Linked DNA regions of Drosophila melanogaster. The protein of the gene in region 1 purifies or fractionates together with the protein of each later gene. This does not show direct contact. Each region holds a gene or a part of one and is shown on either strand. Other genes may lie near its edges.

Evidence for each region.
Region 2: the proteins of conu (region 1) and RhoBTB purify together in Drosophila melanogaster (affinity purification with western blotting, with the first as the bait; one study listed by BioGRID). This does not show direct contact.

What each region holds. Positions count from the first base shown.
Region 1 is NT_033778.4:4,742,547-4,747,427, forward strand, and holds the start of conu (conundrum), read left to right. Parts: upstream 1-1,801; 5' UTR 1,802-1,855; intron 1,856-1,858; exon of another isoform or gene 1,859-2,091; intron 2,092-2,109; exon of another isoform or gene 2,110-2,348; intron 2,349-4,881. UniProt on the Drosophila melanogaster protein: GTPase-activating protein (GAP) for Rho1; functions with the ERM protein Moe to regulate Rho1 and control proliferation in the developing epithelium. Recruited by Moe to the cell cortex where it negatively regulates Rho1 activity.
Region 2 is NT_037436.4:20,374,649-20,382,539, reverse strand, and holds RhoBTB (Rho-related BTB domain containing), read right to left. Parts: upstream 6,299-7,891; 5' UTR 5,939-6,298; intron 4,799-5,938; exon of another isoform or gene 4,701-4,798; intron 4,110-4,700; 5' UTR 4,081-4,109; coding exon 3,892-4,080; intron 3,829-3,891; coding exon 3,725-3,828; intron 3,659-3,724; coding exon 3,461-3,658; intron 3,229-3,460; coding exon 2,692-3,228; intron 2,630-2,691; coding exon 2,371-2,629; intron 2,306-2,370; coding exon 2,192-2,305; intron 2,128-2,191; coding exon 2,041-2,127; intron 1,971-2,040; coding exon 1,887-1,970; intron 1,826-1,886; coding exon 1,583-1,825; intron 1,519-1,582; coding exon 1,248-1,518; intron 994-1,247; coding exon 842-993; coding exon of another isoform or gene 819-841; intron 749-818; coding exon of another isoform or gene 658-748; 3' UTR 142-657; downstream 1-141. Other genes in the region: CG5498 (uncharacterized protein), read left to right, coding at 1-45; Ide (insulin degrading metalloproteinase), read left to right, coding at 7,053-7,120, 7,179-7,313, 7,371-7,641, 7,697-7,891.

The DNA.
Region 1 (4,881 bases):
TCATCTTATATCTAAAGACCATTAAACTGTGAATTAAGCACGGAAAGAAGATCATCGACTCGGCGAAAACTATCTCTAGCTACGCCAAAACTGTTGATAAGTTCTTTCCAAGCCACATTTAGTTTGGCGCATAAACAATTTCATCTCGTTCGCAACCACAAGGCAAGCATCACAACAGTAATTTTAATTTTTACCCTTCGCTAGGTCATCGCTTGTTCGGCCATTAAAACCAGCGCACTTAGTATGCACCATTCTATCACATAGCCAACAAAACAATTTTTGGTGCTCAGGTTTTATAACCTGGCAACAATTTTTATAAAAGCAGACAACATTTACGGTTTCCATGTTTATCTAAAATCAGACCACTGTGCACGAAAACACAAGATCAAAACATTCTAGCGAGGTGTTAAAAGAACCGCAAGAGAGCAGTCTGCACGCTGAGAAATTTAGATTTTGTGTGGGCGCATGCAAAAAACCACACCGAACAGCACTGCGAACAACGTACAAAAGGGAGAGTAAACATAACACAAGGACGAAAAATGCAAAATACTTTGTATATTTGTTTAAACTACTGCACAAATCACAAAAGAATCACTCGCGAAGCGAACGGAATCTTTAATAATTATGTTTAAAATATATGATAATTAAAGAAGATTATTAAAAACCACGGCTTGTTTGACAAACACAAAATAAAAATCGGAGCGCAACTAACACGACCGTTCGCTTTGAAAGCTAATTTCAGAGGGACCTTTTCCCAGGGCCCTTTATGTTGGGACCTCTGTAATTTTAAGTCAAAAAAAAAAAAATTAAAAACTTTTTTATAGCTGTACTATGCAATTATCACAAAAACTGTGGATAATTTTTTTTAATTTTCCTGAAATATCCTTTAAGGTTGTCTAGCGTTCATTTTGGAACACCTTTTGAGAATGGCGATATTCCCTAAAAAGTTGGGTGCCTATTTTTAAATTGCATATTGTAATACTTTTTTGGGTCCTTCAAACTTTTGTCGTAAATAGATAGTTAGATCATTCTTTTCATAACATTCTTTTTTTTAAATTCACCTATAAGTAAAGACTAAAAGAACAAGTAAATAAGAACGTTCCCATGTTAAAAATTCTGCCGTTCCGCCAACGCAACTAACTCATCTGCGCTATTTTGACGCAAATTCCTTTACCACCGTATACATTATATGTATTCATGATCTAGTCAGTCCGTGTATACTTCGAGATCTGGGGAAATATAAAAGCTAGAAAAACAACATATTTCAGAAAGTTCTCGCGTCCATTCGAAAGGTCAACTAAAATTAAAAAATTATTAAATTAAATTAAATTATGTTTCGGTTCTTTTTAATTTAATTTCTATTGATATGCTTAAAAAAACTTGTCTAAGCCCGGAAAACTGACAAAGCTGCCATGACCAAACTTTACAATCATTTGGTTTTTAACACCGTTTGTTAGTGATATATTTTCACCGATCTATTTTTTCTATGATCTATTTTGAGACTAACAACTTTACAAACTTGCACTGCTACAAGATTGCGAAATTGTATGGCTAAACTGTCAAACTGTCCTTGGATCCAAGATCAAGATCCAAGATCAAGAACGAAAATTAATTTGCCTTTAATAAATATATAATATATTTAATATATATACATTTCCATCTGAGTAAAAAAAAAATGCAGTATCGTGCATATTTACGCAGAACGTCACAAATCGACTTTGAAAATTGTGTAAGGTTGAAGTTAATATGAATAAATCTCAATTCATTCGATTCATACATCAGCAGTTTACACAAACATCTTGATATTTGCCTTAGTAAATCTTTAGTGTATAGGTGAAATATACTGAATTTCTGTGTAAGTCCATTTAAAAATGCATACATATGTAATGCATGCATACATATATGGAAAAGTAAAATCAGTAAGAAAAGGAGGTACCATCTGCTACCCAGTTGATGATTTTTTGTTGATGAAACTAGTAGTTTTGCACATAAGCTGTGTCTAATTTACTTAACTTTTTATAATTAAAAAAAGTGTTTGTTTATTTTAATATGAAAAAACAACTAGATATGCGTGTTGTCATGGGTTCTTAGGTTCGTACATAGAATGTATGTTAATATGTCCATCCATTAACTTACTTATGTATGTATGTTCCGAGACCTGTAATGTAAATTGATATTTATTTAATATTTATATTGACGTGGACCATTTTATGATTAACTTAGCATCGGCAGTTCAACGTTTTTCATGGAATTCTCATACAGTGGCTCGCAGCTTATTTCTTTCAGTTGAAATCAAATCTAATTTTTTTTACGCACTTGTTTGAGTAAATTAAGGCATACGCAAGAAAGTGAGTATGTGTGCATATTTGTGGAAAAAGACGATTTTCAACCAGGTATCAATTTTCATCTTAAAAATTAATTTATTTAGAGATTAAAGGAATTTTGCATAAATAAGGGCATTCAACTGGGCCAATCAAGTTTTTTATATTGAAATAATCTATTGAAACTCAAACCTGTATAAAAACAGCCCTACCAGCATCAAATTAAAATGAGCACATAAAAATTAAAAGTTCGTAAATAATTCCTATTTTACTATTTTGGCAAAATTTAGCACAATTACTTTATATTTTGTTCTTATTATTTTATTATTACTATTTTCTAAAATATGAATGTCACATTTAGTCAAATTTACAAAGCATGAGCTTATACTACGTCTGCCTGCACACTGCCTACACACTGTAAGCGTTCTTGAGAGGTCCCCATACGGACGTGGAATTTGAGTGGAATATGTTCCGACACGTTATTTCATAACTCCACATAAGTTTCAAAAGTATTCAAGTCTTGTCCTGTAAGAACCCTATGAGGCCTATGGATGCATTCCTTGAAAGGCTTTTATATGTATTTCGAGTATTCGAGAATGTTTACAGACATGCATATGTGGGAATGGTCATCCTAGCTAATATAACGATGACTAGGCGAAGCTAACGACGCGGCGAGCCTTCAAAAGGCAGAGAACGATTTCGGGAGCTAAACGGAAAAATCCATGGAAGGAAAATGTTTTTACGACGACGAAGTAGAAGACGTGCCGGAGAACGACTATCTCGCCAAAACCCCTTAAACAAATATCCAATCAAGGATCAGTAAACACATCACAAAAAAAAAAGAACTCAGTCTCACATAATTTGGGGCTCAACAATTAATATACAACAAAATTAAACCAAAATAACAGAGTGTAAAAAGGTAGTAAAAGTGTTAAAAACAAGAATTAAAATATAATGAAAATAAAGAAAGAAATAAAGTATCGCAAGAGTTAGCAAATCCGGATCCGGAAAACATTGTACTCGATAACAGAAAACGCTTGCGAGAATTTCGAGGCTACGCTTACGACGAGTCAAATCGTCAAATCGACAGAAATTAATTTCTTCGCAGACAAATTATCTGATATGGATCTCGCGATAATTTGCAAAAACTGCAACAGGATAAGACCGACTTGACAAAACACATATATTGCAACAAAGAAACATGTTAGTCGAACCAAATTTGGCGAGGAAATGACTAACACGAAAGCGAAGAGTATGAAACGGACAATGAAATCGGCGAAGAAACTCAGGAAGATACTGACAATATCAAGCTAAAGTTAAGGGACTGCAAAATATATCTCGTCGGGTTTAGTAAATCAGACAAAAATAAGATCAAATCATCAGGATCGTTTGAGCAGAAACTCTCAATAGGCAGAATATGCCGAATTTTTAAAAAATTTTCTCGTATTAGAATCGCACCTCCTCGACTAATAAATGGTGTTTGATAAAGAGTTTTGCAAACAAGCTCAAGTTACAGTAAACAGTGAAGAAGTGAAAATTACAAAACCTATCACATCAGAAGGTGATATAAGTTCAAATCTCAAAATTTATATCGAAGATATAAATACATACGGTATGCCGAAATACATACGGTCCTGCAGATTTTCTTATGCCGAACGTTACATTTTTGACAATAAAACCGAACAATGGCTTGAAGACGGCATCATGGAAACATCCGAGTAGAGCCGTTAATATACATCGTTAGTCACTCACAACTGACAATTTCAATTTCTGAGAATACCTTTTCGGTCTTTCAAATTCGCCAAGTGTGATCCAACTTCATGTAAACGCTATCTTCAGGGATTTAACCACAAAGGAGTAGCTATACATTACGTGAAACTTCATCCACTCAGCAAAGATAAGCAACCGCTTCAAACCTACCATATAAATTTCCTTGGACTTCTAGAGTCAACGCAAAAGCAGTATAAACAGTTTTACCAGAAATCGACAGTTTCACAAAATTCTGCTGGCTCTATCTAAATCCAAACACCCAAATCAACATCTTATATTTTGCAAGACTTCAAGATCAAAGCAACATTTTTGGAAATAGAGAGGTTGAGAGGGTGAACTCAAAAGCTTCAGTTTTTTCAAAACTTGCAATTGACGACCCACTACATTGGCATAAATTGTCAGTGGCGTACCAGAAGTCATCAACTCAATGTTTGTTTGAAGCAAAAAAAGGGCAGGAAGATGAGCCTAAAATTGAATATAAGGATTCAGCAGATGCTAGAGGATAAAATGATAGAATTCAAGCAAAGAGACGTTTTCTCCAGATTCAAAACGAGAAGAAAAAGAGATACAATCTACGACGAGGACCATCCTAAAAGTACAAAGTCGGCGACATAGTTGCTATTAAAAGATCTCAGTTTTCATAAATTTAAAACTGAAACAATAGCCAATCTAAATAATTAAGGATCAGCAAGCACATCATAATCAGGCATGCTCTGCTTATCTTAATTTTTTTTTCGATTTCGATTTTATTTTCAATGTTCCGATGTTACATGTACTGCACTTTGATTGG
Region 2 (7,891 bases), on another chromosome or scaffold:
ACTGTATCGCAATCCAGTGTAAAATCCGTGAAAACTGCGATATAAATGTTGTGTTTTTTTAAATGGCATGTGAACTGTTATAATTCTAAATTTATTACATTGTAAAATGCGTTTTTATTACAAGGAAGAAACGTGAGATTTGTTCGTAATTGCTTTTTTATTCTATCATTCTGTACAAAATGCGTCCTTATCGTAGAGAATTGCTTAGAGCTATGGCTAGACAAATGTTTCCGTAAGTAGGAATTCAAAAATATACATACATACATGTCTTAGGTAAAGGTACAAATATATGGATATACACATGTCTGCGTCCTTCGGCTGTCCACATTCCATGGGAGGGATCGTGCAGAACAAGTTGAGTGTACACCGATATATCGTAAGGCAATACAGCGAAATGCTTCGCAGCGCCGAGGTGCATGTGCATACATACTCGTCTATGCTTTGCGTTTTATATAGGCGTATAAATATAAGAAATCCGAAGCACTCTGCAGTATGCTCCCTTGTTCTGGGTCGAGCTACGTTGGACTTATTAATCGTTAATCACTAAGGCAAATTTGCGCTCTATATATTGCGTAATGTCAAAAGCAGACGCGCCACGCCCCCTCCATTTCCAACCCTTATCTCCCCGACCACTCTAAATCGTGCCCTTGAGGTTTGTTATGTATGGATTTGGAAAAGTATCAAAATACTTAAAATCGTACAGATAAAACAGATCAGGACCGGCAGGATCACAATGAAGCGCAGTGATCTGGAATCAAAGTATCGAAGTAAATCATAAATATCGAAGAATCCTTACTTTGACATTAATATCAACACACCTTCCTTGCCCTAGGGCTGGGTGTCAGAGATTCAGGTCCATGTCCGCCTCCAGATCAATGTGGTTGAGCGAGTTGCCGGCGCTGTTGAAGATCTGATTATCTGCGTTGCTGTTATCCGTGGTTCCACTCACATCAGCGCTTCGCTTCGATTTACCTAACAGCCAGCAAGAGAATACTTTGACCAAATTTCGGACATTAATATTATGATGATGGCGTTGTCGTTGTAAATGAGCAAGGAAATCAACAGGAAAGGAAAACAATAACGAGACACCTAGCTACGAATACAAACCGCCGTCATGATACATACATTGTCCTCTAAAGCTAGCTGAAACTAAAACCTGAGCTGATCCTCCGACTGGAGTATTGGACTGGGATGTTAAGTGTGGTGGGATGTGGAGCAGATAGTTCCGTAAATGTAGCAACACTTACCGCCCGTAAAGCACAGACAGCCCTCGTCATCGCTAGGCGATTCCCGCCTCGAAGTCTTTAGCTTAAGCTCCTTGTTCAGCTCGTTCAGGCATCGCTGATAGTAATCATAGTCTTTCAGATACCAGACTGGAGGCCATCGGTGCTCGCGCAAGTACTCCTGATTATCCTGGTGTAGCGCCTTTAGGCCCTTGAGTGAAAACTTACAAATAAGGTTGTAATTGACGCACAGGTATGACATGCACCACTCGGCCAATTGATGTGCGTTGTGCAGCTGAAAAAAAAAGAAAAGTATTGAATTTCGGTATATCATTTTTAACTGATCTCTCTATGTGTACCTTCACTGGCTCGAGCAGCTTTAGACAGTGATCCACCGTTTCATTGGTTTCGTTCTGAGAAATCAGAGTGAGATCTTCAATAACGCGGCATTCAACCAGGTTGAGCAGCCGCGGCAGGCAGAGTCTATTGGCCAGCTCCAGCAGATTGAGGCACTTGACGGCCGAGATTGGCGGAATCTGGTCTGTGTACAAATAGCACAGCAGCTTGTGGAATGTGTAAATGGTAACGCCAGGGAATACGATCTAAGGTAAAGGAAATTTATGACAACTGTCCTTAGTTAAGGGGTATTGTGCCCGTTCCTACCACATTGGAATGAGCCTCGCGAAAGTCGCCTAACAACATTGCGCGCATGACATCACAACGACCAACCAACACAGCGCGGTGTGCCTGCAATGCAGCAAAGGTAAGTGTAAACGATTGTGCTTCATATAGTAATTCAACAGACATATGTATGTACCTTCATTAAGCCATCGTCCAATTCAAAGGTGACATCACTGAAGCACCCGTCACCAATGCAATGCCGTTCCATGCTTTCTTTGATGCGCTAATGTATGTAACAGAAAATGGTTAGGATCATAAAATAGATATCATGACATCAATGCGCTCACCAGGCAAATGTGCGGATTTGGCTCATCGCTGGAGTTCTCCATAACGGTTTGAGGCCTGGAAAGTAGCTGAGTCAGTTGCGGCAGTTCTAATAGATCGGCAGCTTCTCGAATTTCCTGTGAGAATTAACAATATATTAGTAGGTCAAACTTAACACAGAATACATTGAAACATTTCCTACCTCGATATTATCGCAATCCTTGTCAATGGTACCGGTATAAATAAATCTCAGGCACTGGTGCAGAGCTTGCGGAGAGATAAGTTTGCTAAGGGTGACAATCGTCTGCAGACCATTTACACCCCGATGGTTTTCCACGTGCACCAGGCGAATGCTCTGCAGGACCGGATGATGCAGCTCCCTGTACAAATCGTTGGACCGCTTAGACTCCATGAGAGGCAACGCCTGGTAGCTGGAGCGGCGCTTCAAGTGTTCCCACATTCTGTGGGTGCAAAATGTATTCAAAGTCAAATGGGCTCAATGCAATCGGGAGGCAGCACCCACCGTTGTGTGCGTGATTCGTAGCGGATCAGGGCCTCCGTGTCATCGTTAAAGTCCGCAATGGTGGCCTCCCCGAATGTTGAGCTGACCATGCTAGATTCGCTGCTGCTCCGCCCGCCCATATCAGTCAGCTCAGTGCTAAGCAGGCGCTGGAAGATGCTGGACGCGGCGGCTAGCATGAACCTGTGCACGGCGAACTTGGTGCCACCCGCCCCGACCAGGACGAGGTCGGTGTAGGCCTGCGACAGGAACATGTTGTAGATGTCCTGCCGATAGTTGCCGACCATGACGGTGACCTCCGGTGGTGGTGGCTTCGGTGGCCGGAACGGCGCCTGCAGCAGGGGCTTCTGCACCTTCTTCAGGTTTGTCATCCAGAAGCGCTGCTGTCGGCGTGCAATCAACGCGGATCGGATGGCGTTTTCAAACACCTCGTTCACCCCAAAGTATGTGAAAACACTGGTCTCGTAGTACGCCACTCCTAGCTCTTTGGCGACGGCACGCGCCTCATCCGGCATAACCAGGTCACTCTTCAACGCGGCTCTTTAAAAAAAGATTATAGTAATGATTGCCTTTAATTTAATCCAATTAAATAGAATATCTCTGAACATATAAACAGATTAATTTGCTATAGTGGGCTAAACATTGAATTATATCTTTCGTGTGTTCTAAATATAATTAAATTATGGTGAATAATTGAATTGATTTGATTAAAGAACAACATTAAAAAGTGAAAGCCACTCAAAACCGGCTGAAACCTGCTAGCTATGCATACCGAACAAAGGTTCCCTTCTCGCCGAAATACGAGAGATAGTTCTCGTCGCGATACATGTAGCGCAGGTCGTTCTTGCAGCCAACTAGAATGACGGGAACATCCGGACAAAAGCGGCGAATTTCCGGATACCACATCATCTTGCAGTTGCGCAGGGAAATCGGACTGGCAATGGAAAAGCACAGCAGCACCACATCGGATCTGTAGGTCAAGAAGGCATCTTATTGATTCGTATGGCGAAAATGCTGCTACATGAGCTCTACACACCTGCCGTATGCGAAGCGCCGATCCTTGTCGTGGTCACCAAATGTGTCCCATAGGCGAAGTGAGACATTCACTCCATCGACCACCTCCCATGATCGCTCGAGTACCTTTAATGTATATGGATTCGGTTAAATGCAATAACTATGACTCTTGAGAGAATGGTAACCCACATCCTTATATATGCGATACTGGTCAATGGCCCACACGGTCGGCACGTGCGTAGAGAGGAGCTGAGATAGCGAGACGTGTTTGTTGCAGGCCCTCGCGCAGATCAGTCGCGTCTTGCCCACGGCCGTGTCCCCCACCAGGACGCACTTCACTAGCTCTTGATGCGGCTGCTCGTTGTCCATTTTGGGCATGCACAAATAGCAGAACCAGCTTATGGAATCTGAAATGAAAATAGTATTGGATTTTTGTGTGATTTAATAAAATGTGGTCTCTCCTGAGGAAAACATACATAAATGAAAATATTGAAAATAAAATAAACTGCTGACACCCCTTCTAATATAAATAAGTGAACTACGTAGAATAGCTGCCTTAATGTTTTTCAGTTCTGATAAGCAGATGCTAAATTCTCGACTAACAATCGACCTGCTAATTACTAAGTTACACAAAGTGTCGTCTGCATTAACGTTTTGTGTGAAGGCAAAATGGTTTCATCACGTGATTAATTTGATTTTAATCTAGATACCTAAGTGCTTCCCAAAATAGAAATACATAGTTTGAAATAATCTACGCACTGGGAAAATTCACTTCTACGTTCAGTTATACGTAAAGCCAGAATAACTGATCTACGCCAATAGGCAATTTTGTTTGTTTACTCGCTGCGCACTGTGAAAATAACTATAGTGAAATCAGATACCAGCTTCGTATCATTTACTTAGAAATCTATTGGATCCCGCAAACGGAGGCTATAAAACCAGCCAATTCATTGACCCCCACTTGATCCACTTGTCGCGGAGGAAGTTGGAGTAAGTACCTCGGATACGGAGCGATAAGCTCGCTCTCTCTCTTTGAACCTCTAATTGAACTTAATTGGGCTGCACTAAAAATATATCTGCCTTCAATCCTCCGGTCGCAATGAGCACACTTCTTCCTGCGTGGCCCACGCTTCATGGCAATCCATTGTCCGATCTTCTCGACGAGCTGCAGTCTGTCTATTTTGGGACGCGCTTTAAACCCAAAACAATAACCATGCAATTGAAAGTACTTCAAGTGGTCGCCAGAAGCGATCGTTGTTCTCCACAGGAAAGTCTTTTGTTCGTGCGAAGACTTTAAGTTACTGTCAATATTGTGGATCGTTGACCTCTGGAATACATGGCAATCGGTTCCACTTTTGCTTTGATTTTCTATAATTTATGTGTTCAATCTATTTAGAGCCATTTGAATTGACTTTATGAAGGTTAAAGAGGGAAGAATATTCTTCAAATATTGAAAAATTAATGTCTGATATAACTACTATAAAATACCGTTTTTATTTTTATTATTTCCTTGTAGAAATATTTTTAAAATATATTATTTAAGTGCCCAGTCTTAAGCAAAGTGAAGCAAAAACAAAGAAACAAAGAAAGAAGACGTTGTGAAGGTAAACAACTGTTAGTTTTTGAAGATATCAGGTATTTTGAAAATGGAAAGATCGTATTTTTTAGTTTTTAAAAGGTATGTTCTTAGTTTTCATTGTAAAATATTTGCACCAACCATAATCTTGGGAAATAAAAACAAAGTTTATTTAGGGACTGGTTCCAATTTATTTCTCATGCGAGGTGTGAACCTGTGGTTTAATTAGACATTTTGATTCGCGAGAATTCGCAGAACACGCCAGCATATTAGCATTATTAACAAACTCTGCGCTGTTTTGCCATGTCTGGGAAGTCTCCTTTCTTCAATTTTGCCAGCTTATTGATTTTCTCGTGCCATTGCAAAACGGCCACAAATACCGTTACCAAACCACACACACATTCAGACTCGCACACAAGGAGGCACAGAAGGGACTTTTAGGAGGGGATCTTGAAGTTCGGACTCGACATTCCGGCAAACTTGACCCATTTAGGGGAGAAAAATCGTTGAACACTTGCACTTTTTCTCGAGGAAAACGCATGTTGGTGGGTAAACAATTAAAACCTGATTAGAACCTAATTCTTCGACTGCTGGCCGAAGGGGAGAGCACAGAATTCCCGAACTCATAAATCTCCGCGGACGTAGCACTGCAGCACTCACCTCTGAAAACGCCTGATCCCACGGATTGCACGAATTGCACGGATTTGCCTCAATGTTCTTACTTTTGCGTATTGCACTTATCAACACGCACACCAAAGCACGGCATTTTACAACAATTTGCATTTATTTCTGCACCCACACACCGATGGCGACGCAGTTTGTGGTTCGCAAACACGCGAAATCTTTACGGCTGGCACAAGTTTAACATCGCTGCGAGCTGGTTGCCGACGGATGGCTGCGGATGAGCCAGTGCTCGCTGACCAGGTGCACTATAAATGAAATTAAAAAATAATAAATTGCAGTTACAGCCCGCAATTCTTCTACGCGCTTTGACGGCAACCGGCCAGTGTTGGAAAACGGCGGCGGTTGGGCGCGGAGCACTGCCAGATTGACGGAGAACGGGAATTCACGGAATATTTATTTTTATAATGACTGTTATCAGGGTTGCCCAATATTTATTGTATGGTCGTTGGAAAAATTTCAAGCATTTGAAATACATTTTGAAATCGCCATCTATCCTAGGTAAGGTGAATATGCAGCTTACTTTAGTCCAAAGTTACATTAGAACTATTAAAAATCATCACTTTAAACTTATTAAGTCTTTCGTATTTGAAAATATGGCCTACCACTTTGTAAAATTTCTCCAATTGGGAATTTCAAATCTGGAACCACTCACAAAATAAACGATCTGGCAACATATTAAACTAGTTCTGCGTGCGCGGTGAGTTGGCAGCTCTGCGAACAGATGATTGTTTGCTATTTTAGTTGTTGCGAAACTAGTTAGAATTTATTTTTCGGTCCAAAAAGCGATTAAAATTGATTGAACGTGTAACCGACCGGCTTGGAAATCTACTCCTCCCACTCTAAGATTTCTTGTGCGCGCTACGTAAAGCCGGAGTAGCGTCGTCAAGAGTATTTCACAAACTCAATGTATCTTACGTGCAGAAAATCGATTTTTGCCTTAACAGCGGTTTTTGGTCGACGGTTGGCAGCAATTAAACAAATTTCCGCTAACGGGCACCACTAAATCGCATTTATTTCGCACAGGTCAAGTGCGTTGAGGGCCAGCATTTCAGTAACACATCGAACGATTGGCACGCTTATAAAACCCAAGATGACAATAGCCGAAAGCTCGCAAAAGTCCGCAACTAGGAAGCCAGACAGCATGGAGCCCATATTGAGGTAAGTGCACGTTACGCATCTTAGAGGTCGTCGAAAGGCAATGGTTCGTCGTTTATAGGCTGAACAACATTGAAAAGTCGCTGCAGGACACACGCGACTACCGCGGATTGCAACTAGAAAATGGACTAAAGGTCCTGCTCATCAGCGATCCCAACACAGATGTCTCGGCGGCAGCGCTGTCCGTGCAAGTGGGGTAAATAAGATCAAATCTTCACTCAATGTTTGTTTTTAATGAGTATACCCATGGCAGCCACATGTCTGATCCCACGAACCTGCCTGGATTGGCCCACTTTTGCGAGCACATGCTGTTCCTCGGCACCGAGAAGTATCCGCATGAGAATGGCTACACCACATACCTTTCGCAGAGCGGCGGAAGCAGCAACGCCGCCACCTATCCCCTGATGACCAAGTACCACTTTCACGTGGCGCCGGACAAGTTAGATGGAGCCTTAGATCGCTTCGCGCAGTTCTTCATAGCCCCCTTGTTCACGCCCAGTGCAACTGAGCGGGAAATCAATGCGGTATGTGAAAGCATTCATTAAAATTTCTGACAGAAATAGGACGCTGTCATTGCAGGTAAACTCTGAGCACGAGAAAAACCTGCCCAGCGATCTGTGGCGCATCAAGCAGGTGAACCGCCACCTGGCAAAGCCTGACCATGCCTACAGCAAGTTCGGCAGCGGCAACAAGACCACCCTATCCGAAATACCCAAGTCCAAGAACATTGATGTGCGGGATGAGCTGCTAAAGTTTCACAAGCAGTGGTACTCC